3 linked regions of the Astyanax mexicanus genome follow. The protein of the gene in region 1 interacts with the protein of each later gene in a pairwise test. Links are inferred from orthologs where the notes say so. Each region holds a gene or a part of one and is shown in the gene's direction. Other genes may lie near its edges.

Evidence for each region.
Region 2: the proteins of efhc1 (region 1) and kctd4 interact in binary tests that used the Homo sapiens proteins (3 or more experiments, as listed by UniProt). The two-hybrid records come from large-scale screens. The link is inferred for Astyanax mexicanus from reciprocal best matches to the Homo sapiens genes EFHC1 and KCTD4.
Region 3: the proteins of efhc1 (region 1) and tex11 interact in binary tests that used the Homo sapiens proteins (3 or more experiments, as listed by UniProt). The two-hybrid records come from large-scale screens. The link is inferred for Astyanax mexicanus from reciprocal best matches to the Homo sapiens genes EFHC1 and TEX11.

The regions. Positions count from the first base shown.
Region 1 is NC_064408.1:42,212,476-42,223,833, forward strand, and holds the start of efhc1 (EF-hand domain-containing protein 1), read left to right. Parts: upstream 1-7,008; 5' UTR 7,009-7,160; coding exon 7,161-7,415; intron 7,416-8,616; coding exon 8,617-8,838; intron 8,839-9,452; coding exon 9,453-9,740; intron 9,741-10,506; coding exon 10,507-10,656; intron 10,657-10,909; coding exon 10,910-11,102; intron 11,103-11,358. Other genes in the region: protein eva-1 homolog C, read left to right, coding at 2,484-2,702, 3,696-4,072. UniProt on the Homo sapiens protein: Microtubule inner protein (MIP) part of the dynein-decorated doublet microtubules (DMTs) in cilia axoneme, which is required for motile cilia beating.
Region 2 is NC_064418.1:28,510,277-28,520,486, reverse strand, and holds kctd4 (BTB/POZ domain-containing protein KCTD4), read left to right. Parts: upstream 1-6,799; 5' UTR 6,800-6,928; coding exon 6,929-7,705; 3' UTR 7,706-8,285; downstream 8,286-10,210.
Region 3 is NC_064417.1:48,322,062-48,332,833, forward strand, and holds the start of tex11 (testis-expressed protein 11), read left to right. Parts: upstream 1-6,531; 5' UTR 6,532-6,701; coding exon 6,702-6,729; intron 6,730-9,046; coding exon 9,047-9,162; exon of another isoform or gene 9,163-9,266; intron 9,267-9,697; coding exon 9,698-9,782; intron 9,783-9,901; coding exon 9,902-9,981; intron 9,982-10,157; coding exon 10,158-10,238; intron 10,239-10,459; coding exon 10,460-10,579; intron 10,580-10,720; coding exon 10,721-10,772. Other genes in the region: kdrl (vascular endothelial growth factor receptor kdr-like), read right to left, coding at 1,367-1,430. UniProt on the Homo sapiens protein: Regulator of crossing-over during meiosis. Involved in initiation and/or maintenance of chromosome synapsis and formation of crossovers.

The DNA.
Region 1 (11,358 bases):
TCTTATTTTAAGGTACTGTACTTGCTGGATCATGCTGTACTTGCTGGATGGTACATTAGTATGGTTTGGATCTTGGTAAACCAAAAATGTACCTGTACAGTACATTGTTTTCTGACTGTGTACTGATGTTGGAAGATTAGTTTTGAAAAGTAGTGAATGGGACATAGTAGAAAACCAGTTAGCATGAAGTAAAGGCTTCTTGACAAAGGTACTGGGTAGATCTCTGTCATTCTATAGCATACAGTTTCACAGCTCAGTGCTGGGGACATTGCACATGGCGACCTTAGGTCATGTGCTTCCTATTCTACTGGCAATGCTTTTCTATCAGGCACTATCAGATTGTGCTCCAGTGAGTTGAAGGAAAACAGCAGCTCTGCCAGCATCTCAGTAATAGCCAAGCAGTGGCTTTGACCTCAGGCCTGTTTGCTTTTCGTTTCCACATGCATGATTGATTTAGGCACATGTACATATACACACAAACATGCACACAAACACACACACACACACACAATGATGCATACACACCCATATAAGCTCCACGTAGAACTGCAAATTTAAGAAACGGGTTTATAACTGGTTTATATGACCTATAAGTTGAGCACTATCGGCAAAATGAGATATGACACACAGAAAACACACACATGCACAAACGGAAGGCTTGATTTTTCTGTTACACACTGTAATAGAAGCAGCCTTACTGTTCTATTCATAAACAAACAAAGCCCAAACCACACAACAACACCCATTACATGTTTTAAACATGTATACTTTAAACATAGGCATAAGGCATAGGCATACTTTTCCCGTCGTTACGATAGCAAAGACACCCATGACCCACCCTAAAAGATGGATCACCTATAGATCACTAAAATCGGGCCCTATAGTATGTTTAATATTTATAGATACCCCTTCTTATCAAATATTTTAAGCTGCCTCATCTAGTGCTCACTAAAGCACTAGGTGAGCACTAGAATGCAATAACTGTATTTACAACGTAAGACCGTACTTTTAATTTCAGTAATTCAGTACTACATTTTACAATAAACTACTAGCAGTACTTAAACACACTACAAAACATGCTGAATACCTTAGTACTTCTACTAGTGCATCTAAGTAAAATTGAATATCATTGTAAAGTTACTTTATTTCATTAATTCAGTTGAAAATGCAAAACTCTATATTATATAGATGTATTAAACACAGTGATCTATTTTAAGTGTTTAATAAAATCAATGTTGGACAAAGGGAATAGGACCTATGGAAAGCAGTTAGCAGTGTAGGCTCCTTGACATTTTGCAATACTATGTATAAGTGATTACATAATTACACAATGATGATATTTATTCCATTTATTATTAGATTTATATTTTCCATTGCAACGACTTAAAATTGGTACCAAAAGGTGGTTGTGTGGGCCTTGCACAACCACATTTAGTACTGGTCCAGTAAAATTAAGTTTTGTATTGTCCTTTAATTAGTTTACAGAAACACAATGGAAGAAAAGTATGTGCTTCTGGAGCAATGGTGTACCTTAGAACAAGGTTTTAAATATAGTAAAAATGTATTAATTTAATACTTTTTACAAAAAGCACTAAACAGTGGTAGAACAGTGTTAATGTGTGAATAATGTGAGAAGGGTGTTGAGTTCAGTGGCATGGGGGAAGAAGCTGTTACAGAGTCTGGCAGTGATAGCCTGGGTGTTTGGGTACCTTCTGCCAGACAACATAACTGAAAAGAAGCTGGTAGCTTTGCAGATACAGGATGTTCTGTAATTAATTGTCCATGATAAAGAGAAAAGAGACCCCAGGGATTTCAGCTGTCCTTTCTGTCTGATGATAGGTTCTGTGGTCAGTGTTCTCTTTTTAACCAAGTGGGAGCTAGGGGCGTTAAAATTCAGGTGAAAGTGCTTGATCCCTTCTGTAACAATACAGAATACAGGTTATCCTCAAGAAGTGAAGATTTGAGGAGGCTTAAGGTGTAAAAATCTCAGTATGTGATGTTAAAAGTCTCGGTATAAGAAAAGTTTATTATGGTGAAAAAAGAGTCTAATGATGTAAAAACTTTCAAGATTTGTAAATTCTCAATATGTTGTGAAGATGTGAAAAGTCTTTAGATGTGAAAAGTTGTATAGATATAAAAAGCTCTAGGATGTGAAAAGCCTCAGAATGGTGCAATGCCAGGCTCAGCTAATTGAGATGTTATAACTATAAGGCACACTCTCTGTTTACTCTTAATCATCTAATGGGCTGTTTGCTTGGTCTACACACACGCACTAACACACCCACACACTCACATAGTTAGATGCCCCCTGATACGTGGCCTGTCAGCATGAAATGAAACCCAAAGAGAGTTTTGCAAATGAAAGACTCGCCAACAAACAAACAACAAACAAACCGTCAGGAGGAGACTGTCTGAACTCCTTATTACGCAACAGCAGTATTCAGATTAAATCAGAATTTGCGTGTGTTTGTGTGCGTTTACAGGGAAGTCAAAGAGAGGGAAGTCGGGTCCTTATTTGGAGGAAAAGATTCCTTCTGAAAACGGACTAAGAGAAACTGAAAGAGATAGAGAAGAGGAAAATCAAGAGCAAGAGACATCGTCACCTAGTGACCAGGATCCTACTGTTATCACTGTTGCCACGACGTCCAGCACAGAGATGTCTCTGATCAGCAACGCTCTCGCAGCTTACACCTACATTACAGGTAAGAGTCACACATTACCATACTCTGACTACACGAACATGTCAATGTATTAACAGTGGATGTATTACTTTCAATAAATTTGTAGCATTATTCAGTATATGGAGCTGTGTCCAGCCTTCAAAATCAACTTTCAATTAAAACAGCAGTGGCTACATGTTTCACTTCACAACTATACATGTCATATTTATCATATACAGCTCTGGACAAAAAAATAAGAGACCAATTTAAAATAATGAGTTTCTTTGATTTTACCAAAATGAAAACCTCTGGAATATAATCAAGAGGAAGATGGATGATCGCAAGCCATCAAACTAGGCTGAACTGCTTGACTTTTTGCACCAGGAGTGGCATAAAGCTATCCAAAAGCAGTGTGTAAGACTGGTGGAGGAGAACATGCCAAGATGCATGAAAACTGTACCTAAAAACCCTGGGTTATTTCACCAAATATGGATTTCTGAACTTGTTTTCTTCGCATTATTTGAGGTCTGAAAGCTCTGTATCTTTTTTGTTATTTTAGCCATTTCTCATTTTCTGCAAACAAATGCTCTAAATGACACTATTTTTATTTTGAATTTGGGAGGAATGTTGTCCGTAATTTATAGAATAAAACCACAATGTTCATTTTACTCAAACAAATACCTATAAATAGCAAAATCCGAGAAACTGATTCAGAAACTGAAGTGGTCTCTTCATTTTTTAGCTGTATATGAGCTGTATATGCTGTTAGTGGTCAGCTATTTCACGACTGACGCCTCACACTCTCCTCCAGACAGTTTGTGGGTTCTTGTTACAGTGGAGCTTCACTTTGATGCTGCTTTTTTTTATTTATGCTGCTGATTGATTTATCCAGGCGAGCGTTGTCTAGAGTAGTCTGCTGAATGTGTTGAAGGTATTGCTATAGTAGAGTTTTTGTGGAAAACTGCTATGGATGGGCTTAATGTGATTAATGAATTGACCAAGCTAATCCTGTGTTTATTTTGTGCGTGTCCACAGAGCACCCAGAGCGCTGTGCTCTGTATTTCATGTGCGGTGTGTGTGCGGGCCTGTTCCTCACACTCTTCGCTCTGGTGGTGCACATTTCCTGTCGGACGGACTGCAGGCGGAATCGGACAGTCAGCAAGAAGCGTCCGCGGCCGGTCGAGTCGGACAGCGGCAGCAGCGGCTCGGACTCAGACTGGGACTCAGGCTCAGACCTGTCGGCGCGACGACACAGGCGCTTTGAGCGCACGCTTAACACCAACGTTTTCACCTCCGCCGAGGAGCTGGAGAGAGCACAACGGCTGGAGGAAAGAGAGAGAATCATCCGCGAGATCTGGATGAATGGACAGCCGGACATACCGGGCACACGAAGCCTCAACCGATACTATTAACGGACGTATCTCAGTGGCATGGAAATACACACAGTAGGGCTGCAGCTATTAGTCAATTATGCTAAAATAAGACAAACACAACAAGATGTGCGGGGAGTGATAGGGAAAATTCTATAAAATGTTCTATAGTGGCCATATGATACATTCATTCATTCTGACAGACTGTAGTACACTACAGGAAGTGTAGGGGTGATATAGCTTCTCTAATTTTACTTTAAAAAGCTCCATTAAGTTGTATAAAAATCATAAATATGATCCACAAGCTCATTCTGATCGATTTAAATACACCATTGGAAGCGTTAAGTGCTATGGTTTCTCTAATGCCATTTTAAACTGCTCTATAATGCTTTTTAATTCAGACTGCAAACCACTATCACACCACTGTAGTGGCCTCTGTAGTGTGGTTTGCTCTATAATGTTTATATATGATCCACACAGTCATTCTGACTTTTGAAATGCAATGCAGATTATATTAAATTATATATTATATATAAATGCAGGGGGCAGGTTGACTACTGCTATGCCATTTTAAAAGCACTCTATAACAATCTATGACATTCATATGGTCCATGCAGTCATTCTGAAACATTTCTGGATATCTATAATCTTTATATGGTGCATTCTAACAGAATGCAGTACACTACTGGGGCAATATGGCTTCTGTTGTTTCACCGTTAAAATAATGATTTGCAACTTGCACAGACTAGGAAGAAAACAAAGAAAACATACAGGTTTGATTAGTCTTTAAAGCAAATAGATTAATAAATGATATTCAAAACAACTACTGGTTGCAGCCCTAACATATACTCCTCCACTGCCCAGGCTGTGATTTATTTTGCTTCTGGTTGGCCATAGCTGGGGGTTGTAGTTTTTCGAAAGGACTTGCAGAAAACTACAACACAGACTGTATTGGCCTATTTCAGCTGGACTCTGGGCTGTGTGTGTGTGTGTGTGTGTCAATGATTGGCACCTCCAGGCCTTTGCGGTGAGAATAAGCTCCTCAGCCTGGTAAGCGTGACATTTCAACCCCAGTGTGGTCCAACACCATGTAAATACGACCACCAACAACTCTTTTCCTGAACTTATAGGATGCTTAGGCTCCTGGGAGTTGCAGTCCATATTTTGGGGGTGCTAATTGTCCCAGCTGTAGGATGATTTTTTTTTTGGCAGCATATAGGAGTTTGAGGCAGCTCTGAAAGATGGAATAAGCTCTAAACACTTCCAGCACTCTTGATTGATCCTTTCCTTCTGCCTGTCAGGATGGGTATCAGGACAAGATCAAGGAAACTGACCAGGTCTGAAGACTGCTCATAAATACGACCTTTGGCTCGCGTGATGTATTTGAACTTTACCTGAGAAAAAAAAGAGGAAAAATAGATGAACAAAAAATGCTTGGAATTCATCTCAGCCCTTATAAAATATATTTTGAATATTTAATAGTTTTTTCCTATTGTTTTTGTTTTCCTGAATGGTTATTATGAAATATTTTTATACTGTGGCAGCATTCATGTGATAGCTCAGGGATGTAATCCAAGTGTTTCTGTGTAAAATGATACTATTTTTTATTTTTAAAACAAAAAAAATACAGGATGTACTTTGCTGAAAAAGTGTCCGCAGGAAATATCCGGAAGTGTAAACCTCAAAGAGGTTGAAGCCTTTAGTGTTTTTACATGTTAAACAGGCTTTTATTATGCAGAGAAGTTGAGTGCCTTATTTAGAACATGGGACATTAAACACCATACAACTGCTGCTGTTGAATTAACTCTTAGTTCATTTAGTTTTAGTAAGTTAATTCATCATTGGTGGTTTTATTGTTTATGAAACCAATATAAATGCAATCATGTCAATCAGTGATTTATTTATTGATTGATTAGGCTATGCTGATGCAATCCTTTTTTTTTTAATTTGTTACAGTCCCCTCCAGTCCGTTTTAAAGATGTTTAAAAATTTCTGCATAAATAAATGGCGAAGAAATAAACATAGACGTTTAGAGTGATTTGGTGTGAAACACTTGATTCTAGAGAAACTTACAGGGTCAGAAATTATCACACTGACTATGAGTGCAACACGATGCACTGACATGCATCAGAGAGTTTGTGTAGCTATTAAAATGTCTGCATTTGTGTTGGAGTCATTTGGACCCTGGATTTTCATCACCACCTGTGTAAAGTAGCCCAATTTCACACCAACTTCTCAATGCCTTTGTTTATGGTGATAAAATGATGCTGAAATTTTGAAACAACTGTGCAAGGTGTTATGGCCATGTAGTACAGTGCAGGGTATACTTCAATGTGTCTGACAAGTGTATATGTATATATTCATTCCAAATGATATATTGCTGATATATTACTGATTTATTCAAAGAGGAATGTATAGCTCTGGAACAAAATAAGAGATATCATAAAATTATGGGTTTCTTTGATTTTACCAAATTGAAAACATCTGGAATATAATCAAGGGGAAAATGGATTATCACAAGCCATCAAACCAAGCTGAACTGCTTGAAGTTATGCACCAGGAATGCCATAAAGTTTTCCAGCAACAAGAAATAAATACAAAGAGTAAAGTATTGGTTTTACACAATGGTCTCACTTGTTTCCCTGTGTTTAAAACACAGATTTTTCCTTGCCTTGTCCGACTTTGCTGTAATATTTTCTGTTTCAACCCGAGTGCTGGACACGTTTTTCATAGAATTATAGTGTTCAGGATATCTTAGGATGGTGAATTTAAATTCAAGGACCACACAAACTGTGTTTTTGTACTCTACCTGCTCTGCTTCCCTGCATTAACCCAGCTTTACCCTAATCCCTGTGCTTGGAATAAACTTCAGACTGAACTCTACAGGACTGTGTTGATGCTGTTGTGCTTATTATTTGGTGTGGAGCGACATCTGCCGGTCACATGTATACTGCACATTATTACACACACAAACCCAACACGGTAACCTGCATTCCTGCACACGAGCGCACAGTTCAACTAAGCTTTGTTATATGTGTGTAAAAAAGCTGTGTTACAGATTTAACTGTGTTTTACTACAGAGTAAATGTTTGAGGGACTAAATAATAAATAAAAATATAATACTGTGCACATGCTCAGTGGGACCCACGGTTGCCACGGGATACCAGAGCTAATAAACAAACGTCCTGTATCAGACCGCAGGTCCGCTGTGGTCCCAGAGGAGGCGAGTTCACACAGCGATTTAATCCACACTTTAATCCAGTTTACATCCTTAGAAAAGAGGCGGTTAACTTGTAAATTTGTGAAGAAGAAGTCCCATAAAATGTCTGTCAGCACCACACACGGTCTTCCTTTCCTGCCTGGGAACAGCTTTCGAGACACAACGGTGAGAGACCTGTTTTAAATAACGTTAACTAATAAATATGTCTACTAGCCCTGGGAAATATTGTGGGCTGTTATTGTTTCATATCATATTTTAAATGTGTTTAAATCTTAGATATATCTAAATACCACTTCTGAATATTGATACCAAGTATAGTGAGCAGCTCATTCGTGTTTTTTTTTCTTACTGTAGGAACATGACTATAATATTGTAAGGCTAGAGTCCGGATGTGACAGAAACCCCAAGAGTTTTATAACCTGTATTTTAACATTTTGTTCAAGAAATAAGAGCGTAAAACCATTAGCTAGTTGATTAAAGCATTTGAATGGTTAACGTTAAATGGTTGGAACAATCGATAAGAAAGTCGAAGGAGATTGGCTTTAATTTAATAATATTTCTTTGTGTGAAAATATAGAATAGAGTAAAATATAGAAAATGAATAAATATAGAAATATTTAGTTTCTTCTGTCACAGTGTCCTAGGAATTCAGTAATTCATTTGCAGTATTTGAGTGGCATGTTTAAGATTTCACCTGTAAATTCCTTCTGACCCTCTTGTATAAATCTCTTAAAAATAAAAATCGTATAATATCTACACGAAATAGAAACCCTCATTTTGGCTGCACATAAAAAATACTCCCAAACACACACAGCATATAAGAAAAAATATATATATAAAAAAAATTTTATTTTTACAAAGTCAGTTCAGAACTTCTTTCCTACATAAACTTTAATGACACTGTTTATGTAGTGTTTGAGCATGGAATTGAATCTACCTTCAATCTTACAGATGAGTGACAGGACAAGGGCACTTCAGGGGCCAATCAGTTTTGTAACCTACACTACGCTGGTCAAGGGCTGGTTATTCAGCTTGCTTACCAGGATAGAGTTTTTTTTTTCTGGACAAAAAATACTTTTTGTCCAGAAAAAAAAAAATAAATGGAAAAACGGTAAATACAAATATTGTTATAATTTTAATAAATCTATTTGTTGTGCTAAATTAATTAATATACATTTGGTCTAAATCAAATTGTACAGAAACATGTCTGTAATTTCATTAATTTAATTTTATATAGCGACAATCACATTTTGATAGAATAAATCATTATATCAATAAATATTACCATATTGCCCACAATTTTTAATTGTAGCAGATGTGATTGTTTGCATTCTATCTTCAATTCTCACTCTGGCCCATTCCTCAGAAATCAGCCTTCCACAGACCACAAACTCTGTCCTATAAGAACGGCTACGCGCTGCCTCTTAGGCCCACAGCGGGAATAGGCCAGGATCCCCTGCTCTCAGAGAACATCCTTCAAAACGAGATGAAGCAGCTGTCCAGTCAGATCCCCACCCTCACCTACGGCACCCCCACTCGCAGCCCCCCGCGGGACTTTATACCAGCTTTTGTGGCTTATGACAAGAAGGTAAGGAGATGGGATAAGGCTCTTTAGCTTTGTGGTTCTTAAAATTAGAAGTTAAAAAAGTTACTTTAAATTGTATCCATAATTTGGTTAAAAAGTGAAAAAAGCGTATATATTTTAAGCTAATTTCGGTCAGTCCAGGCTGACCCAAAACCAGACATCCATGGTCATCACATATCAGTCAGTGCTCACTGGAAACATGCTATGTTTTAAATACATTATTCAAACTATATCTCCTACTCATTCCAGTGTTGAACCTTCAACATGTAGACGATGGGAAACAATCTACAATCTGATAGGTCAATCTGGCTAATTTGCACAATATTGGTTCAAAAGGAGAGGGAGTATAATGAGCAGTGTTTGTTATAACAATAATATAGTATTACTATAGGTATATGTCTCTTGTGACAATTATGGAATAGTATGACATGCTGTTTTTAATGTAAACTACTGTATCGCTGGAAATCTGTTACTCTGTTACTCAGAGTCTTTTTTATGATATATTAAATATTGCTCAAGTGCAAAACCTACTGGAAGTTGTGTGTTTTTAAAACTATTTGAACTATTTTTTAAACCAGATGGACCATAACTTTGAATTGTATGTTCTCTACCACTAGGTGCTGCGTTTTTATGGTTATTACAAGGAAGAAGTGCTACATTCTCCAAACGAGCATTTCTATGTGCAGCCTGTAGTGATCTACTACTACCTGGAGGATGACAGCATTTGTGTGATGAAGCCAAAGTTGAAAAACACAAATGAAAAGGAAATCAAACAGATCAAACGTCACCGACTGCCCAAAAACCAGCCCGGGGAGCACTACCACTGGAAGGACTTCAACCTTGCTATGGACATGATTGTGTATAACACTGTGTACAGAATCACAAACTGTGACCCCTTCACCCAGGTACACACTTATGCATACTTGTTTTTACTATAAGTAAATTATCATTGTTAGTTTTGCTACCATGTAAAACTACCATGGCCATAACTATACTAACCCTAAACCTAAAACTTCTTTCTTGCCATGACCTTAACTATCCATTATTCTTAACCCTATAGCCACAGTAAACAACATAAACCTTAAAAATATTAATTCCAAACCTCACGCCAAGTATTAACTCTAAACTATAATCATACTCACCCTAACCATAACCAAATGAACTCTAAACCTAAACAAAAACTCCAAAAATAACCATAATATTTAAAATCCAAAACCTAACCTAACCCTAAAAACATTTTTACTAATGGGAAGCCTAACCCTAAACTTAACCCTAACCAAACTAATCCTAAATCAAACCCTGACCATAAAAATAAAAATAGTGACCCTAATCCTAACCCACATTTTAGCACTGAGATTTTTTTGCTGTGGTAATGTGATTGTTTAAGCCATCTGATTATTTATGAATGTAAAATAACCATATAATCTAAAATCCTAAACATAGTAATCCAAAAACTAACCAAACACTTACAAACACCTTAAAAACAATCTTACTAATAGGAAGCCTAATCATAAACTTAACCCTAAGCAAACTAATCCTAAATCAAACTCCGACCATAAACAATCCTTACCCACATTTAGCACTGGGATTTTTTTGCTGTGGTAATGTGATCCTCCAAGCCATCTGATTACTTATGTGTATATCTGTATATCTGTGTGTATGTGTTTGTAGGAGTTCATGGAGAGTCAGGGGATAGTTCTAAACGACCCTGAGCAGATCCCTGGTGACCCACACTCAAGCCGACAGATTCAACCCCAGCTCCCTGACATTTCTTCAACAAACTATGACAGATTCAAACAGTTTCTAACCATGGATCGCAAGGTAACCCACACACATTATATTTGAGAGATACACACACTACTGTTAATCACTAAAACTTATAAAGAGAATAGAAATATGTTAAAACTCTTGCTGGTCTCCCTTTTATAACAATAACTGGGAACAGCAATCAGTTTTCAGTAATGTAAAATCAATTAAAAGTGTCCTGGTCGTGGAAACGACTTTTTTTAAGTAGTAGCAGGTTGAAAAATAAGAAATATGCACCATATGTGTGAATTTGTGCTTGTGTGCGTAGGTGCTGCGGTTCTTCGCTGTTTGGGATGACTCTGACTCTCTGTATGGAGAGAAGCTTGAAGTGATAGTGCACTATTACCTGGTTGACGATTCAGTGGAGATTCGCATAGTTCAGGAGTCCAACAGTGGCAGAGACACAGTTCCTGTGCTTCTGCACAGACAGAAAATACCTAAAGACATTAAAGAAGTCTGCCGTAAGTCATATGAACACCCAGATAAAGACTTTCTCACCCTAAATGTAAAGAATTTCATGTTCTCAATTTCATTTATATTCTAAATTGTTACTTTGGAGAGACCTAAGGTTAGCGTAGAGCTAGCTAACATTAACAGCAAGCTAGCTAATGTTACTGTGGAGAGAACTAAGATTAGCGTAGAGCAAGCAAACATTAACAGCAAGCTAGCTAATGTTACTGTGGAGAGAACTAAGGTTAGTGTAGAGCTAGCTAACAT
Region 2 (10,210 bases), on another chromosome or scaffold:
GAAGAAACGAGCTCTGGTGCTAGCCACCAATATGGTGGAAACTCTGGATTATTCTCCAGCCTGTAATGAGGTGTCTATGTACAGTACAGGCCAAAAGGTTGGACAAAAGGTCTTCTCTTTTTTAATGTGTTTTCTTTATATTACATGACTATTTACATTGTAGATTCTCACTGAAGGCATCAAAACTATGAATGAACACGTGGAGTTTTATGTACTTAATAAAATGGGTGAAATAACTAAAAAATATATATATACAGGTGCTGGTCAACGAATTAGAATAATTTGAAATAGTGCAATCATGAAATTCTTTGAATGCATTTTTTGTGCAGAAAGCAAATCAGGTGTTCACCGCACCTGTCCTACTCGTTAGACTAATCACAGAACTCGTTACCTGGAAAATAATTTGCTCAGCTGAGCTTTCCAAAAGGCTCATTTAGGCCATTTAACTGTGACACTGTTGTTTTATTGAATTAAAATAATGGAGAAACCGTTTCATTGAATTAGAATAATTTTTATTATAATTACAATCATCACTTTCTCAGTATTTTGTGGCTTCCCCCTTGGCTTGTATGACTGCCTGAAGTCTCCGCTGCATCGATTTGACCAGCTTGTCGCAAGTTTCCGCACTCACAGCTTCCCAGGCAGTGGCGATGTTCTGCTTCAGTTGGTCCAGCGTAGTAGGCTTTCTGTCGCAAATTTTCCGCTTGACGATGGCCCAAAGGTTTTCAATGACATTGAGGTCAGGCGAGTTGGCCGGCCATGCCAAAACTTCAAGCTGTTTTTTAGTGAACCAATCTTTGGTCGACTTTGCCGCATGAGCCGGTGCAAGATCCTGTTGAAATATGAAGTCTTCTTCGCCGAACTGTTCCTCAACAGTCGGAATCAGGAACGTTTCCAGAACATCTTGATATACGGCAGCATTGACAGTCTTCTTGAGGAAGCAGAGTTTCCCTACACCTCGAGCGGACATGCATCCCCAGACCATAACGCTCTGGGGAAACTTGCCGGATCTTTTCACGCACTCGTGGTTGTAGGTTTCGCCACCACGACGCCAGACACGAGGACCTTGGTCACCGAAGGAGATGCAGAAGCGTGATTCGTCACTGAAGACCACTTTCTGCCAGTCTTCAGCAGTCCACTCGCCGTGTTCTTTGGTCCACTTCAACCGTTTCTCCATTTGTTTCTTGTTCAGCATCGGTTTTACTGCTGGAACGCAAGATTTGAAGCCGAGTTCGCGCAGACGACGGTAAGTGGTTGATCTGGAGACGTCAGCGCCGGTCTGCTTGTTCCACAAGTCGGTGAGCTCGGAAGTGGACTTGAACCGGTTGCTGACTGCGATCTTTCTCAGCTGCTTGTTGTCGCGAGCAGAAGTTTTTCGGACGCCGGAACAGTTGGTGCGCTTGCTGCAGTTTTTCTTGAGAGCTTTGCAGACAGAAGACTGGCTGATGCCGAGCTGCTCAGCAATTTTAGTTTGGGTCAAGCCTTGTTGGCGAAGGGCTTGAATTTGAGCCACTATTCCGGTTGAGAGGTCACGCTGCTTACCCATGATTGATTTTACAACTTAGAAATTCTACTCAACCCTGACTTTATACTGCACAGTGAACACTCTTCACAGAAAACAAAAATTCGAGCATTTATTCTAATTCAATGAAACGGTTTCTCCATTATTTTAATTCAATAAAACAACAGTGTCACAGTTAAATGGCCTAAATGGGCCTTTTGGAAAGCTCAGCTGAGCAAATTTTCCAGGTAACAAGTTCTGTGATTAGTCTAACGAGTAGGACAGGTGCGGTGAACACCTGATTTGCTTTCTGCACAAAAAATGCATTCAAAGAATTTCATGATTGCACTATTTCAAATTATTCTAATTCGTTGACCAGCACCTGTATATATATTCTAGTTTCTTCAAAATAGCCACCCTTTGCTCTGATTACTGCTTTGCACACTCTTGGCATCATTCTCTCAATGAGCTTTAAGAGGTGGTCACCTGAAATGGTTTTCCAACAGTCTTGAAGAAAGGAGTTCCCAGAGGTGTTTAGCACTTGTTGGTCCTTTGCCTTCTTCACTCTGTGGTCCAGCTCACCCCAAACCATCTGGATTGGGTTCAGGTCCGGTGACTGTGGAGGCCAGGTCTTTTTTTGTTCAGTACATAAAACTCCACATGTGTTCATTCATAGTTTTGATGCCTTCAGTAAGAATCTACAATCTAAATAGTCATCAAAATAAAGAAAACGCATGGAATGAGAAGGTGTGTCCAAACTTTGGGCCTGCTCTGCATATTATTGCTATGGCTCCATAAGTATGACCAAAAGGCTCCTGGGAAGAAGTCTTCATAGGACAGTCTGACCAAGGACCCGCCCTACTCCGACTACCTGCAGTCTAAGTTTTTGAAGGCAGTTTGTGTCTCTTTCAGCACATCAGAACTCTTATCGCCCCCTCCTCCCACATCTGTTATGTAATGGTGGTCACTTGTAATTTGCAGTTTCCAAATGGCAAACGTCTGATCTAAAAGACTTTCCCATGACAACTGTTGATCAAAATCATGTAGCTAACACCTCAGCGAACTCTGAATAATTTAACGCATTTACCATTTATAGAAAATCTCGACACAGCTCATAATAACTGTGCACTATAATTATCATCCAAATCCCAAATAAAGACTTAAGGAAGAGGCTTTTGGCATTGTGAGAAACATGTACTTTCTCACTAAAATGACAATAGTGATGAAATAATTTGTATTCAGTCATATTTGTCCATGTTAAGTTAAAATTTCCGTCTGCAGTTGAATAACAGGATTAAATTCATGCTGTTAAGAAATTGTGCCTTTTGACAGATGTAGACGAATATGATTCATCCTGATGAGCCATTACTCATAAGTATTCAACGCTAATAAATTCTAAGACAGCAGTGATATATGTTGATGCTAAAAAGAGCCATTTTAAACATAAATGATAGTAGATGAGTCTAATGAAAAAGCAGTACGTGCCTCTCATACTAGTGAATAAAAAAAGAAAACGGACACATTTAGTACATAGACACACGAATATTCACTCATCCAAACATATGAGCCAGTTTATTCACTGCCTTATTTAATGTAAATAAGCTCATTTAACATAAATCATAAAGTAAGAGATGGACCAATCAGTGCTTTTGAGGGCTATATTGAACACCATACGTCAAAATTTAATCAAAAGCTGGGCTGAATGCCATATTAATCATTCCAGGGAAACTTGGTGTTGCTCTACTGCCATTACACATGGCTTCGCTCACATTCCAATACATTGTATCTCAAGATGGAATTTAAAAAGCCAGTGATACCAGCAGCTGTAATCCTTTGTAACCATTCTTTTTTTAAAGGCATCCTTCATAAAATCCACTTTTTCTTGTTCTTTGTGAAATACTATAGGTTTCTCTGAGTCTCATCCTCAAACTCCATTGGCTGCAGTAGCTAATAAAAGAAAACGTTTAGAAAAACGAGTCAATCAGGAAAAGCATTGTGTCTACTTCAACCCGTGAATTAGTATCCATGGCCTCGCCCACCTCTGCTTGCGACCGCCCACAGGCAGCTGAATATGTTTAGAACAGTTCTTATTACAATAGTTAAAAGTAAAAATCCACAGATTTTCTTTCTTTCTGGACCTGGGCCCACCTCTGTATAAGTAACTAGGTTTACATAGGATCTCCGGTAGATTTTGCTTTTTATACAGACTCTAAGATTACGTCAGTGGCTACACTGCACAGAAGACCATCTTGCAAAGAACAGCTCACATGGCATTCATTCATACTAGCGACCACAACTAGACATTTTAAAATGAATGAAAAAAAAAACGATGGAACTAGACCTTTAAAAGTAAAACTGTGCTTTCTGCAGATCATTTAGATTCCTGTATTCATGTATGAATGAGAATGACTCTGAAGCAATGTTATCAAGCAATTATCGGAAGGTCAATGGTTGGTGTTAGTGTCACTAGCTATAGGTCACAGCAAGTTCAACACTTCTGACACTTAATCGTGACTGGCTGGCAACGTCAGATTTAGCTTATTTTGTGTGTTAGCAAGCTGATAAACAGATAAACACAGAACAAAATTAATTGTTTAATCTTCCTATTCAGACTTTTCACAATATGAAGTAATACTAGTTTAGTAATATTTTAGATTTCAGACCATGCTCACATTATACAGTCACCCTTTGGTTGTGCATTTAGATGACCTAGAATTCAGTTTAATGGTCATATTCCGTGGGACAAGGTTTTTAAGTGGTTTGTTATTTAAGAATCATAATTTAGTGCAAGATCTGATCCTCTAGACTCAGCAAACATGTTCAATGTGCCATCACTCATTTCTGAACATCTTGAACTTGTGGATCAGTCAAATAATGCTAAGAATTTTACTCCGTTCCCTCCATGAGACATTTCATACAATGTACAAATATGTGAGTTTTAGTCAGATACAGTAAAACCATCAGACTAATGGATTTACAATATGGAGCACAATACAACACTGGCTTTCAGACTTGAATGGGATCCTGCAGAGTTGTGTGTGCGTGTGTGTGTGTGTGTGTGTGTGCCATAATTCCATCTAGTGATAGAACAAGGAACTACTTGTTGAAAGAGGAGTAGGATGACTCCAAGTGGGTCAGCAGGCTAAGCGCTGTCACTATGATCAGGAGATTGCCGGTTCGAATCTTGTTCATGTAGCTTGCCATTGGCTACCGGAGCCCTGAGAGAGCACGATTGGCCTTGCCCTCACGGGTGGGTAGATGACGCTCTCTCGCTCTCTCCTCACATCACTCCAAAGGGTGATGTCTGCAGCACAGGGCGTCTGTGAGCTGATGTATCGTTATGAAATGTAATGTAATGTATCGAGTCGCTACACTTTCCTCCGAGTACGCTGTGATGCTACTCGGCAATGCTGCATCAGCAGCAGTTCGAAAAGAGACGGTGGTTGACTTCACCTGTATCGGAGGAGGCATGTGCTAGTCTTCATCCTCCTGGTGTTGGGGCATTTTTAGTGCTAGGGAGAGTCCTAATGAGTGGGTTGGGCAATTGGCTGTGTAAATTGGGGAGAAAATGGGGAAAATTTTGAAGTAAAATTATAAAAAAAAAAAAAAAAAGAAAGAGCAGTATGAAACAGAGCGGCTGTAGTCAAAAATCATCTGATCAGGTCTTAGGATCAGTCATTTTAGTAACATAGATAGATCTCCAATCCCATTCTTGAATTAAAAAAAAAAAAAAAAATTATTTATTTTAAACACTAGAAAACTAGAATGGGATGACTGCACCACAGCATCTATTAAAATGTACAAAAAAAATCACTTTCAGAATTTAAGTAAAGATGCTTAAAGGCACACAATACCTGTTCTTCCTGCATTCTCTCTGTTAAATATACAAAAAACTAATTTTTAATGTTTATGATGCACAAAGCAGTAAAGAAAGCAAGAGTACGCAGCTGATTTACAAATGAGCACAAAATCCCTTTGTATTTAAAATACAATAACATTGGCTAAACCACTGAAATTATACCCAGCTATATTTTGTTCATAAGATAAATAAAAGTTTTTTCTAAACAATTTGTATTTGTTCTTCAGGAAATGTTGCCACAATGTAAAAACCAACTGCCAGATTAAAAGTATGTCCAAAAAAAAAAAGAAAAACAGCAAAAATGGAGATAAGGCGATGATACACAACAGCCACCATGTTGACACCAATGAGCTCAGCTCTCCTGGCCTGGGGCAAGCAGATCACGCTGGACGACTGACAGGTTGTCATTGCTGACAGCTCACCGTGATGTCTCAGATGTCTGACCAACAGTGCCCAAGCCATATTAGCACAACAGTGTACACACTGGCATGTCTCCTCAGAGACAAAGACACTTAGAAACACTGCATCGGCTGCCTGTCACTGTCAGCCCACATTCCCAAGGCACTATATTAAGAATACCAAGTCTTTTTTTCCTGGGAGTTTAATACTGGTCACACGGTACTGTGTTGTGTTTATCCTTTATATACCGTTATTCAGAGATGGTCTGCGGTCAATTACGCACAAACCACAAGCATATCCTCACTAATCAAAAGCTCGGGCTTAACTCATGCTCCCACAGCTGGTAATTAGGTCACTTCTTACCACAGATTGATGCAGAGATCACAAAGACAAGGCAGCCTTTCTCTTTTAAAGCCTTTCAAAGGGAGGGAAGCACTGACTGCATTCATGCCTTCTGAAAGATGAGAAACAAGTCATTTACATAAACCCATCAATTCGCCGTCTTCTTTCTGGCTCTCGTTTATTAATAAACCTGCCAACGCTCACCACGCCACACAATGGTGGCAGATGGACCTCTGAAGCAAAGATTTTGACAAGAGAGAACTTTAACATGTGTAGACTTTTCACATTAACACTAATGCATCCCACTGGCTCAGTTTAGGCAGAGTGCATTAAGTGGGGTCCCAGTGATTTGGCCCACTCCTGTGAGCTCACGTGCTGTCTCCCTGCTCATGAGGCCCTTTCACCAGAGCAGAGCGGCGCTAATTGCTGAAGCAAAGCGGAGGAGCATGCTGGAGTGGAGAGGTGATTAAATCCAGCCTTTAAAGTGGAGGGCAGCGAGCGATGCACTCTCTCTCCCCTTCTCCAGCCCCCTTCCACTGACGCAGGCGAGCCCACCCCTAACACCCCTCCTCCACCTCCTCCGCCCCCTCCTCCTCCTCCTCCTGTGAGCGTGCGAGCGCTCGTGTGTGTGTGTGTGTGTGTGTGTGTAGGGCTGTGAAAGGCTCCAGCACTGCTGGCAGTGCTTAGTGCTCCCGTGCTCAATGCCAGCGCCGCTCAGCTGAGCTCCTATTCGTTCACTCGCCCGCACACATACACACACCCCTCCCCACCATCACATCCCCCCCCACCCCCACCCGCGCTCAGACAGGCTGGGCTCGAGGAACGGCATGGAATGGAATCTCAGAAGGATGGAGAGCGAACTGAGGCAGATCAATCCGGACTTGCTGCAGCCCAGCAAGAGCTTTAAGAAGCCTTCCTCGAGCACAATCACCATCAACGTGGGGGGCTACCTGTATGCTGCGCAGCGCCAAACACTGGCAAAGCACCCAGGCTCCCTGCTGGAGGAGATGGTCACCGGCAAGAGACCCGTGCAGCACATCGACTCTATGGGGAACACCTTCATCGACCGCGATGGCCCCATCTTTCGCCACGTGCTGAACTTCCTGCGGACAGGTGAGCTCATCCTGCCGGACGACTTCAAGGAGGTAGCGCTCCTGCGCCGCGAGGCTGACTTTTACCGACTCAGCGAGCTGTCCCAAGCCGTGCAGGACTGGGAGCAGCAACAGGCCACCCATCGCGAACCCGCCTTTCTGGAGGTGACAGACAGCCACGAGCGCTCCCAGGGCCTCAAGGTTTACTGCAGTGACACAGGCTTCATCGAGAAGGTGAAGGGGCGCCTGGTCCAGATCTCAAAAAGCCGGCTGGACGGCTTCCCCGAGGAGTTCGAGGTGTCGTCCAACGTCATCCAGTTCCGACACTTCATCAAGTCAGAGCAGGGCTCCCGGCTGGTGCTGAAGGAGGACAGCACATTCCTGTGCACGCTGGAGACGCTCAAGCTGGAGACGGTGATGATGGCACTGAGAGGAGGCTTCCGGCTGCTCACCTGCCTGGACAGCAGCCGGGGATCAGTGGTGCAGTGTGAGGCTCTGCACTTTGTCAAGTGACCCAACCAGGACTGATGCTGAGAACCACATGACCCGCCGAGACCTACCAACACCAACACCACCACCGCTGCCACTGCCTCCCATCCCATATTGACGTCCCCCTGCCACCAGCACATACTGCACAGGACCTGCGCTGGAACACAAAAGGGACATTCCACAAGTAACACTGCTTCTGCGTTCCTCCAGCTCCAGCTACCAACTGCCTTTACAAGTGAAAAAGAGGTGTTATGTATTGTGTTTTCTTTTGGTATACCATGCATAGTCCCTCATTTTAACAAAAGCTGGCTTTTTTAAAAGGAAGAGGAATAGCACATGGACATGGCCTCTGAACTGCAGAGTGTTCTACCCTCTGACCTCTTCCCAGAATCTCTTCAGATAAGTGGAAATGGCAACAGGTGCATTTATACAACTACTGTGATTTCTGAGCAACAGGCTGAAATACTACCTAATGCATGTGCAAATTCTGTTCGCCTCTGGGAGCAAATGTTGTGATTGCTGGTCTTGTGTAAAAGTGAAGCTGACAGTAAAATGTTATTGTAAAATATGTCAATGTTTTACAAAATAAACATTATAAAAGCTACCTTCTGCTACATGACTTATTTAAAAGACATTTCCATAAAGCTGTAGGTTTGTTACATTACCTGATCAATTGTCTATCTGTGATGAGAATGATCATAACAGCCATTAGCAAGATTGTGTAATGTACTTTAATGAAGAAACATGATTCAATCCAGTGTGCACACAGCTACAACTCATTTCCTTGGTAACAGTGAAGGCAGCTTGTAACAGGAACTACATTGTGCCCTAAATTAGTCTTTGCAATATTCTGCCTGACCTAAAAATAGAGAACCACAATTCAATAATTGTTAAATATCTCCTCAAGCATTGATCCTAATTTAAAACAGGGATGATGTTAGTGTGTGAAGCCCATTAAGATGTATTAAGATTTGCCTTTCATTCGGCACATGTGCTCTGCTTTCAGTTCTTTTTTTTTTATTATAAATACTTTAACTATAAATGTAAGCAACATGTAAAGGTAAAATCTACGTTGTACATCACAGATACATGTGGCTCATCTATCATTTATGGTGGCTCCTTTTATTTCCCCTCCAACTTGTGAAATACAGGCTGTGAGATAATGCTACTGAAAAGAGTAAAATTTATGAAATCTCTCTTATGTATTAATTTAAAAACTGTCAGTATTCAGCATTCACCTAAAAAAAAAAGAAAACTGAAAAATGCCACACTAAATGCCACACTGATGATTCAGTTTTATACACAAAGCTAAACTCAGCCACCACCCAAAGTCAGTCATTTTTAAATGAGGCAACATTGGACATATGATCACACCCACAAATGGAGCAGACAGCATCTCCACACAAAACAATCCATCTGCTTCCATATAATCTGTCCTGCTCCCTTCTCCCTCTAATGATTCATAATAATTACTTGACACAAGGAAATGGAATCAGTCCCAACCCCACAGTTTGTTGTGAGAACATCAAACCGAGTTCCATTTTTAATTGCAGATAAGGGTCATTCATTTTTGATGAGAGACTGTGGGGCTTATTAGCCCCTTATCCGTGACTGATGATGTAGCTCTAACCCACAGGCAGCGGGCAGCTAACACCTTGTGGGGTGGAGTGTGGGGGGGTTGAACGCATTTATTTCAAATGGAGAGCCCATTATCTGCTCAAATATTCATGGCTTGGTCTCACATCCATTTGCTGCCAAGCGAACGAGACTCCTACATTACAACAAAAGCCTGCTGATGCTCATCAAGTGTTCCAGGGGAGGAATGACTAATATTGCTCCTCTCCAATATCATAATTGGTCAAGCTAACATGTGAATTCGAGATGGCACATGCCCTCGATAGACCAGTTTCACAACTACAGCTCTGACTGTTCAGAAAGAGTGAGAAACGAGAATAAATCAGACCCTGGCTCATTCACTTTTACCAAATAAAGTAAATGCTAGCCATCGTGTTCCTGAACTGAACGGTAAGTAAAATTCATTAATTCACTTGCATTCATGTCGTTTTAATCAATACAAAGAAACTCAACAGCCCACATCTGAAGCACAGGCCATTCACAAAATGCAAAATCGTAGATCCAGGCAACAGGTAGCTCTTGTTTCAGAGAGTTTAGAATTTTTTAATTTGTCTCAGAATTGTATGCTGTATCATATTATATCATTGTTGAATGCCTATTTAGTTTACCTTGCCCACACACTCACACACACACACACACACACACACACACACACACACACACACACACACACACACACACACACACACACAAACACACACACACACACACACACAATTAATCAGAGATAGCATAATCTGCAATCCACCCAGTCAACTAGAGGTGGGCCATATGATATTTTATCATATTGTGATAAATTTTCTTATTGTGTTCACAATATGATTTTTTAAGCATATCAAGAATATAATCAGTGCATAGAAAACACTGCACTGTATGCCCCCGTTCTGTCACAAA
Region 3 (10,772 bases), on another chromosome or scaffold:
CTCTAACTCTTAATTTTTTACAGTTTTCCTAAATTGCAAGCTGGATACAAAACATGACCATTAAGATCAAGTCTCAATGATTTTTGTCATGCCCTCTATCACTTCATAAGGAAAGAACACATAAGGATTCATGTAGTAACTTAAAAGTGTTAAGCAAACCAAAATACTCAGTTAAGTATTTAGGTGCTCTTAAGCATGAGGTGCTGTTAACTTGCAGTTTCTGAGGCTGATAACTCAGATTAACTAATCTTGTGCAACAAAGGAAACTCTTGCTCTTCCTTTCCTGGGGCAGTACTGATGAGTGCCAGTTCAATCATACCGTTTTTGATGGTCTTTGCAGTGACTTCATTTGAGGATACTTTGAAAGTTCTTGATTTTTTTTTCTTATTTCATTAATGACTTACTTCATTTCTTTACTTCACCTTTTGTCTTTACTTAGTTGAGTATTTCTTAACATAATGTGGATTAGAACACTACGCAAATAAGGCTATTCACTGTGTACCAAGTCTAGCTCTTCACAACACAACTTCTACTTTGAAAAATCTAAAACATAAAACATTTTCTCTTTGGTTTACTAATTATTTCCACATGTATTTCTTCATAGTTTGGATGGCATTACTGGTCAATGCAAAACATTTCAAATAATGAAAATACACTGAATTTAAGGTGTGTCAATTTTTTTGACTGGTACTGTATAATCTGTTGCGTTCGTGAACTTATGGAGACACAGGCCAACTTGAGGGTAAACTGTGTGAGTTAACTCATTAATATAGCCCCCTCCCATTGTGTTTCTGTGCCCAGTTCTTTGTTAAGTGTGGTGCTGTTAAAAATAATTGACATTGTCAATTACGATTATGATTAACTGATTGCTGCAGCCCTATTTACCAGTATATAGCCTGGGTGACCAGCTTTTTGAATCAGCTTAAACTATCTGAAACCAGCAAGCTGAATTTTTCAACATATATTAAAGTAATATTAATAATACTTTAACAAGATCTTTTTTTAATATATTTTTAATTATATCATATTTTGTAGCCTATCATATATCTCCAATTTCCACTATTGCATATGGGGATATGTTTTTTTTTTTTTTTTTTGTCAAATTGTCCAGCCTTAATAATAAGAGACTGAGCCAACTCCAGAGAGAGAGAGCATCCAACCAGAATTAAAGCCACACAAGCGCCCAAAAATGAAACAAAAATATATATTTAGCTAAAATACTCTTCACAAATTAATATTTAATGACTTTAAATACAAATTTGTGACATCAGTCTCAGATTCAGATGTTTTCAGAGTGAAGCTGAACCAGCATCAATCAGCAGAGCAACCAGGCAGAGAGAAGAGAAAACCAGAGAAGTGGACTCACCGTTTGTGGAGGTAAAGCACTGGAAAAGCAGGGCTATGAAGGCTGCCGATCTTCTGGGAATCATTCCGTCCCTCCGTAGCCTAATGTTACTCCAACGAAAAGTCAGTCAATCAGTCAGAAGCCAAAGTAACCCAGTAGCCCAGGTCCCTCTAGCCTATCTATATCTATCAGCAGCAGCAAGAAGAAGAGATAACCTCCAACAGTGGATGGATGAACCGCAGCTATAAGCTGCTCCTGCAGCCACAGAACTTCTTGTTGGTAGCTTACAGCCTGTTTTCAAGGTTAAGGTTTGTATTCCATGGTGTCCAGACACTTTTTCAGCTCTTACGCTCCTTCAGGTAAGGGGTAGGAGCCAGTCTGCGCCTCTGGGCAGGTGCTATGTGGTTTTATTCTCCTCCTGGCGAATCAGAATATTACAAAAAATAAGAAAAGTAGGAAAAACAAGCAAAAAAACAGTCCAGGATTCTCAGGGTTCGTCTCACATATCCTCCACTGCGACTCCAAGCAGGGGAATGAGCTGCACAGACGGCAGCAGGCTATTAACTAAGCGCAGCAGCAGCAGCTCTCCTCCTGCTCCCATCCTGCTCCAGGGTTTTATACTGAAAGGAAGAGGCAACGTCACTGAGCCCTGACTGGGAGCCTGTGGCACTCTCACACACTCAGTGTTATCATAGCAATCCGTTTTAAGTCTCAAATCAAACCAGTAATACGAGTTTATACTGGTAAATTTCACATTCAAAACATCTGTAAAGCGTTTTTTATCATTTACTATCAATAATATCACATACTGCTCTGGAGAAAATAAGAGACCAGTTAAAAAGTGATGAGTTTCTTTGATTTTACCAAATTAAAAACCTCTGTAATATAATCAAGAGAAAGATGGATGATCACAAGCCATCAAACCAAGCTGAACTGCTTGAATTTTTGCACAAGGAGTAAAGGCATAAAGTTATCCAAAAGCAGTGTGTAAGACTGGTGGAGGAGAACATGCCAAGATGCATAAAAACTGTTTAAAAAACAGGGTTATTCCCCCAAATATTTATTGATTTCTGAACTCTTAAAACTTTATGAATATGAACTTGTTTTCTTTGCATTATTCGAGATCTGAAAGCTCTGCATCTTTTTTGTTATTTCAGCCATTTCTCATTTTCTGCAAATAAATGCTCTAAATGACAATATTTTCATTTGGAATTTGGGAGAAATGTTGTCTGTAGTTTCTAGAATAAAACAACAATGTTCATTTTACTCAAACTTATACCTATAAATAGCAAAATTAGAGAAACTGATTCATAAATTGAAGAGGTCTCTTATTTTTTCCAGAGCTGTATACACACAGTAATTGTTTAAGAAATAAAAGAAAACATTTAGTGAGAAAGAGTGTGCAAAATTTTGAATGGTACTGTATCTATAAATCCATTCTGACATTCTGACTAGACATATTTTTGGGATGATATAGCCATAATGTTAGTTTTTCTAGTCATATTTTACCATTTATATCATTACCATTTATCTCCACTGTAATTCTCAGGTCCAGGTTTCAGTCCAGGTCCAGATCTATCTGATCTATCTGAATCCTGACTAGGTCAATATATCTTTAATATACTGCAGTTATGATCATGTGTCTTTAGGATATGTGGAATTTTAGATCTCTATAATATACTTTAGATATCTAAAATTGTTTTGTTTTAAATTTAGTAGCAATAATATTATTCATATCTAAATTCAAAATCCAGATCTCTGTAATTTTACTTTTATCTATCAATAATATTGGATTTACAACTGATTTACGTGGAATTTCAGTTTTTTTTTTCTATTATATATTTCAAATAAATCTAAAATTAATATATTTCTATTTATATTACTTCTATTATTACTTATCTTTAACTGTCTAGCTTGGTCAGAGAGAAAAAAACTAACATATTCTATGACTGACTACTGATGTTCATTGTTTATTTCAGGTCCAAAGAACATACTAAAGACTAAAAACACTGCCAGTTGATCTGATATAGTGTTAAAACAAGTGACTTTACACATGACTGTTTTCCCCAAATGTCCTTCTCGAGATAAACAGATAAACATAGCTGCACCTCCCTAAAATATCTGGGTACAAAGGTAAACAGGCATTGTCTTACTCGTGCTATCGAGGTAAATATCCACAGGACAAATATTTGCTGCTTTATTTTTAACTTTGGAAAACAGGACACACAGCTATGCTATATCTAGGCCTAAAAACATTTGGGAACCTCCCATGATTTTGAAACGTCCAGCAAGTTCACCTTATCACAAATAGGGACATATCCATGGATATACTTTAGTGGAGGGGTTGTTCATAAGATTGTCAGGCATAAGAGTTCTGATTCACTGACTTACACTGGGTGTGTCTCCTCTCTTAAAACATTACAGTTCAAATCAAAGCCTTATATTAACAAATGTGTTAACTTCTCTGGGCTATGAGGCTTCTGGGATTGATCATCTCACAGTGGAAACCTCCAGATCTTTTTTGGAACACTCAAAAAAGTACAAAGCTTGTCGCTGGGGCTGTACCTTATATTAAGGTACAACAGAATACCTTTTAGTAATAGTCTTTTTTGGACCCATGTTTTTGGTACCAGTAAAGATTATAAAGATTATAAACATTATCATCAACTGAATATGTGTCGAGAATTGATTGTCCAAAATTGTCTGGCTTTAAAAATGAAAAATGTGTAATTAAAATATATATTATTTATTAGTACAGTGATACAGAATACCAAATGTACCTTTTAGCTGGTTAAATGGTACAAATCTGTACTTCCTGCTGTTAGGAAAGACTTTATGCTTCAGAGGGAACATCTGACCCTGTAAAGACCAATATTATACCTTAATAGGACACAATTATGAAATGATAAAAAGTGCACTTTGAGCAAAAGAAAAGACTTATATCGTACCTCTATTTTTTTGTGTGAAGAAATGGATGCAATCCAAGGACCATCCAGACTTTTATCAGAAACAAGGCCAGAAGCCAGGGTCTGTCATGGTTTGGGTTTTGATCAGTACACCTCTGCAATGCAGCATTAATGTAGAAATGTAGTTAATGGAGATCTTTGAGCAACATATGCTGCCTTATGATGACATCTTCTCCAGAGAAGACCTCTATGTATTTCTTCTTCAACAAGACCATGCAAAACCATATGTTGCACACACTGCAAAAGTATGGCTTCAGAACAAGAAGGTATGGGTACTGTTCTGGCCTGCCTGCAGACCGGACCTGTCCTAAATAGAGAATAGAGAATAGAGAATCTTTTGAGTGTTGATTTTTCATCCCAACTTTTTTTGGAATGTGTTGCAGGCCTGCAATGCATGAATTGATGTACAAAAGTTGTAAATTAACAAATTAAACAAAATATTTAGCTTTCTGTCTCCAATAAAACAAATGACAAAAAACCTAAATGTAAGAAACTCAGCACTTTTTTTATTATTCATACTGTCCCAACCTGTCTTGTTTTATGAAGTAAATGATGCATAAAATGATGAAATAGGTTTTTAAAATAGCTCTTTTGTCCTATTTGTTACTTTATTCCATTCTAAAGTAAACCCGAGGACTTTATTTCACATCACAACTCATATACATTTCTTTCTTTCTTTTTTCTTTTACAGGCAAGTCTTCAGAAGGGTGCACATTCTCCGTGGGCCAGGAGGGCAGCTAGATAAGACTCGAGTGGGAACAATTACTGGAAACCAAGGGCTGAAAGGCCTGGGCTTTTAAGACGTTTCTTTTTTAATCTAGTGTGCGGAAAACAATAAGAGGGTCCGAGTAGTTCTGTGTGCGCAGCTTGAGCTCTTTCCTTCAGGTCAACAATAAACCTCGCTCCCTGTTAAAACAAAGATGTCTGCTGTAGCAACAAAAACCTTTATGTTAAATGTGGCTTAGAATAGACCATGATTGGTCAATATGCCTTTATTTAGAAAGAATCGTGCAAAACTGGTGAATTACTGTTTTTCTTGTTTTAAACACCCGTTGTTTGTTTTGTCATATGCAGTTTTTGTAAAATTCTTCATCAATGTTTATTTTTTTATTTATTTACAGGGGAATCCCAGACAGCAATTAAGCTATGTCTTGAACTAAACAGCATTTTAAATGCAGATTTTCCATTTAAATCAAAGTATCATGTTTAGGAAACGTACCTACTAAGGTTTATATCTTAATTCTTAGTTTGTAATCACTTTTTCCTTTGTATGTCTAATAAAGAACTAATAAAGGATTATGTTTGATTTTTTTCTTATTAACAAATAATATTTGCAATACAGCAAAACTTTACAATACAGCAAAATTATAATAATTATAATAGTAATTTGCTCTTTCTGTCTATGAATCTTTTATTAAGTGATTCATATGTCTTGTGTAAGACACCATCTAGTGGTCATATAGCAGGACTGCACCTCCAGTAAATAAGCTTGCTGTCTTACAGGGGAAGAATATTTGTTGGAAATATTACTACTAAATAATGTCAAAGGTATTTCTTATAAGCATATTTACCAAATGTATTGGTGTCATTTTGTGATTTACCGCCATTTACTAAATATATTTTTGCCTTTATAAGCACATGTAAAGACTATGGCAAATGTCTTTAGATTTATTCAGAATTTTACACATAATAAATGTAAACATTTTTTTAAAATATATGTTTTAAAAATTATGAGGAATTAAAAAAAGGAATATATTTTCAAGCAATTTAATTATTTTCTTAGCAATGCACTATATGCATGAAAATAAGGAACAAACAGGTAGACCCATATATTCCATCTTTGTATCAAATAATTTTATATCCTGGTCTTCCTCATGTAATCAGAAAATCCATAAAAAACTGTCTAATTTTGTCTGATTTAATAATAGTGAAAGCTTTGTGTTACAAATAGTCAATAATAATGTATAATGTGTGTGTTGTAAATTAGCTCTGATGTTGCTAATTTTAAATTTCTGGAGAAAAAAAACTTTACCAACATTATTTTCAAAGTAATTGGAAATTCCCCTGTATTGTTTAACTCAATTCTATTTTGATTTATTTGTTTTATTTATTTATCTTTACTTTTTTATTATTATTATTATTATTTACTTTTTATCATATTTATTACAATTTATGTTTGTAAAAAAAACCCTGTCTTTATAATTCTAACGTTACAGGCTTTATGTCTTCACTGTCCCTTTAGGCTCGCGCAACACGTTAGCTGATTAGTTGTGTGAGTTTTTGTGAGAGAAGACGGGATTTTAACGAGGTTTTGTCCTAAAAACAGTATAGATACGAGGTTGCCTGGGTTCAAATACATGTTATAAAGGTATAAACATTGTAAAACTGAGATGGAGGACGTTCTTATTAATGTGAAAGGTAAGAATTGTCTTCAAAAGACTAAAATCCCCGTTTGCTTATCTGAGGTAATTATTGTGAGTTAGCGTTAGCTTGTTAGCCGCTAGCTAGCTAGCTAATTCTAGTTAACCTAACTGGCTTAATTTTAACTAGTGGTGGAGAAATTTAGAGCTAACTTACTAACTATGTAGTTCTTGTGTTTTATTTCTTTAGCTGACTAACTTAGTTTTAACTAGCAAAGAATAACTAACTTAGCTAGCTAGCTATCTGACTTAACTATTGGTGGTGGAAATACTATCTAGCTAGGTAACGTAGTAAACTAACCCTATTGGTCCAGAAATTACTAGCTAGCCTAGCTTAGCTAGCTAGTAACTGACCTAAATTACACTAAGTTATCTATTGGTTGATAATAATTTTAACTAGTGGTGAAGAAATTCCTGGATATCTAACTTAACCTCAGTTTTAATTAGTGGTAGATAAATTACTAGCTAGCTAACATTCACTGACAATTGTAACTAGTGGTGGAATTACTAACTGGGTTAACTAACTTAATTTTAACTAGTGGAATTAACTACTAGCTATCTGACTTAAATTTAACTATAGGTGGAGGAAATAACTTACTAGGTTTAATAGATAGCTAGCATTAACTGAAAATTGGTGGATCAATTACTGGCAAGCATTAACTGACAATTCTAATTAGTGGTGGATAAATTAATAGCTAGGTTAACTAACTTGGTTTTAACTAGTGGTGGGAAAATTCCTAGCTAACTAACTTTGTTTTAAATAGTGGTTGAGGAATTAACTACTAGCTATCTGAATTAAATTTAACTATTGGTGGTGGAAATACTATCTAGCTAGGTAGTTAACTAACCTATTGGTCCAGAAATTACTAGCTAGCCTAGCTTAGCTAACTAGTAACTGACCTAAATTACACTAAGTTATCTATTGGTTGATAATAATTTTAACTAGTGGTGAAGAAATTCCTGGATATCTAACTTAACTTTAGTTTTAATTAGTGGTAGATGAATTTCTAGCTAGCTAACATTCACTGACAATTATAACTAGCGGTGGAGGAATTACTAACTGGGTTAACTAACTTAATTTTAACTAGTGGTCTGGAAATTCTTAGCTAACTAACTTTGTTGTAACTAGTGGTTGAGGAATTAACTACTAGCTATCTGACTTAAATTTAACTATTGGCGGAGGAAATAACTTACTAGCTTTAGCTAGCTAGCCCTAACTGACAATTTTAAGTAAAATTAAATTTAACTAACTATTGGTGGATGAATTACTGGCAAGCATTAACTGACAATTTTAATTAGTGGTGGATAAATTAATAGCTAGGTTAACTAACTTAGTTTTAACTAGTGGTGGGGAAATTCCTAGCTTAGTAACTTTGTTTTAACTAGTGGTCGAGGAATTTCTATCCAACTGATTAAATTTAACTGTTGGTGGAGGAAATACGACTTTTATCTAGCTAGCATTAACTGACTGTTTTAACTATTGGTAAAAAAAATTACTAGCTAGGTTAACTAGTTCACTTTTTAGTTTTAAAGTACTAGTTTAGTTTTGTATAGCAGTGGAGAAATACGTAGCTAACCAACTTTGTTTTAAATAGTGGTGGAAGAATTGCTAGCTAGTTTGCTAATTGACAATTTTAACTAGTGGTGGAGGAAGTGCAAGCTTGCCAACTAATTTGTGGTGGAGGAATTAGCTAACTTACTAGTTAGCTATCTTACTAGTTACCTTAACTAATCTACTTTTAACTAGTGTTGGAGGAATCACTAACTAGAAAACTACTTAAGTTAAAGTACAGATACCCACGCTAAACGATAAAGAAAATTATTACAGTAAAATTAAAAAGCATCCCTTGAGGCCTCTAACTTGGAAAAAAGCTAACTGACTTGTTTTAACTAGTGGTGAAGGAATTACTAGCTAGCTTACCATCTAACTTGTGCTGAAGGATTTGTTAGTCAGCTAACTAGTTATCTTGACTTAGCTACTTTGTACTAGTGGTGGAGCAATTACTAGATAGCGAACTACTTAAATTAATGTAGAGTTAACCCACGCTTAAATATTATTCCAGTAAAAGAAAAAGGCTGGAAAAAAGTGTTTGCCTTCAAATGTAGCTAGCTACATTAAGGTACATAAAGTTAGTTACTTAGTTATGTAGTAATCATTAGTAAACCTACCACAATATATAAGCTATGACTAGAGAAACCAATTATAGTTACATTGGTAATGTAGACAACTCAATTCAACCAAAATAAACAGCCAAACATGTCGTGCTGTATGAACTACCTAACTACCAACAATATAATCTGTTTTTCTCTCTTAGGTCTGGCAGAGAGTCTTCTTAACAGACAGAGTGATGACAGTGTGAACGACTTGATTGAGACGCTGTTTGAAAAAGTTCAGTCGCTTGAGAAACCCACTAAAATTCAAGATACAGAGGTGCCGGTCTATTTGAGAACAAATTTTATTTAGCTAGATCATAAGTCTAAAGCTGAAAATCCACGGAATTTTAAAAGTGGACTTTATATCGACAATAATTTGAAGTAAGTTATGATGTCTTGTGAAATATAAAGAGATAAAGGTTACCAAATTACTGGATATGGCACAGTTTACCACAATATGTAAGAACAGAAAGGCATTTTTAATAAAAAGTACATTGTTATCTTCTCTGACATTAACTTATAGAGATGGGGTTTTACTGGTATCCCCCCCCCCAGTCTGATGCTGTAATCCAACCTACTTATGTACCAAAATAGGGCAAAAAAAAAACAATTAGAAGAACAATAACGTTTTTTTCAGCTGAAATGCTGACTGTGAATGAAAAACTAGATAATTGGAAAAACATGTATAAAAAAATCTGAAAATTGATAAATTGATAAACCTTACACAGACCCCAATGGGACATGATTATCTTGTTTCTCATTTTTAGAAAGTAGCTCAAAACAAAAATAATAAACATGTTTTTTATTTGCAGGTTGAAGAATGTGCTATTCAGTTGTGGAACTGGGCTGTGACCAAAAATATTGGTTCTGTTATTAGTGAGCAACAAAAAGCCAAAGGTTTTTGTTTTATAAAAATGTCATGTTATTTTCTTACAGGCAGTCTTTATTTCTGTAAGTTTACAGATGCTTTAATGACATTTTACCTTACATGTTATGATATATTTTGTGTGATTCAGTGCGTCTTGTGGCCTGCAAACTCCTGTATGTGTGTGAAACCGAGGAACCACCTGAGAATGTTATTCGCAAACAGATTATGGTTTGTCTGTGTTCTCACTTCATTTAATATTATTTTTGAAATTCAGAACTTTTTCTGAAAACACTAATTATATTTCCTTTTAGTTTAGTCTAATTTTTTAATGCAACATTTCCACTGCACTTCAGCTAGTTCTTTATGGTGTGTGTGTGTGTGTGTTGTATTTTTATGTGTCGCAGATGGCCAGTAAGACAGGGAGAACATGGCTTGATTGTAAAAACCCTAAGCTTGCCGATGACTTTTTAAAACTTGCAGTCAGTGTAAGTGTGAACTTCATGTCAACTATATAGATATAGATATAAAGATATAGATATATAGAATATTGTCAGACAATGACATTGCACAAATTATTTTTTCTTGTGAAACAGTGCAATTAAATTAATAGAACAATCTGGTTTGATTGTATTTTGATTTGAGTTTGTTGTTGACCTAAATATAACCTCCAGTACAGTAATAATAAATGTTTTGTATGATTTCACAGAGTCTGGAGACTCTTTACTGCAGACTAACATCCCATGGAGCTGGTGTTTCTGATACCAACACACCGAAAGGAGATGTAGAGAAAGATCTTCTGCGTGTTCTCTCTTATCAAGCAGAATCTGTAAGATGGTGCTTATATGTAATGCATTTAGTAGTAGAGAATGACTGGAGTTGTAATAATCCTAGCAAACAATTTAAAATAATATTATAATACATTTAGAATATATTTTACATAAATGCACTTGGCGTGACTGACTTTTAGGCAGTTGCTCAAGAGAATCACCAGGAGGCAGTGTCCTGCATGCAGCGGTGTA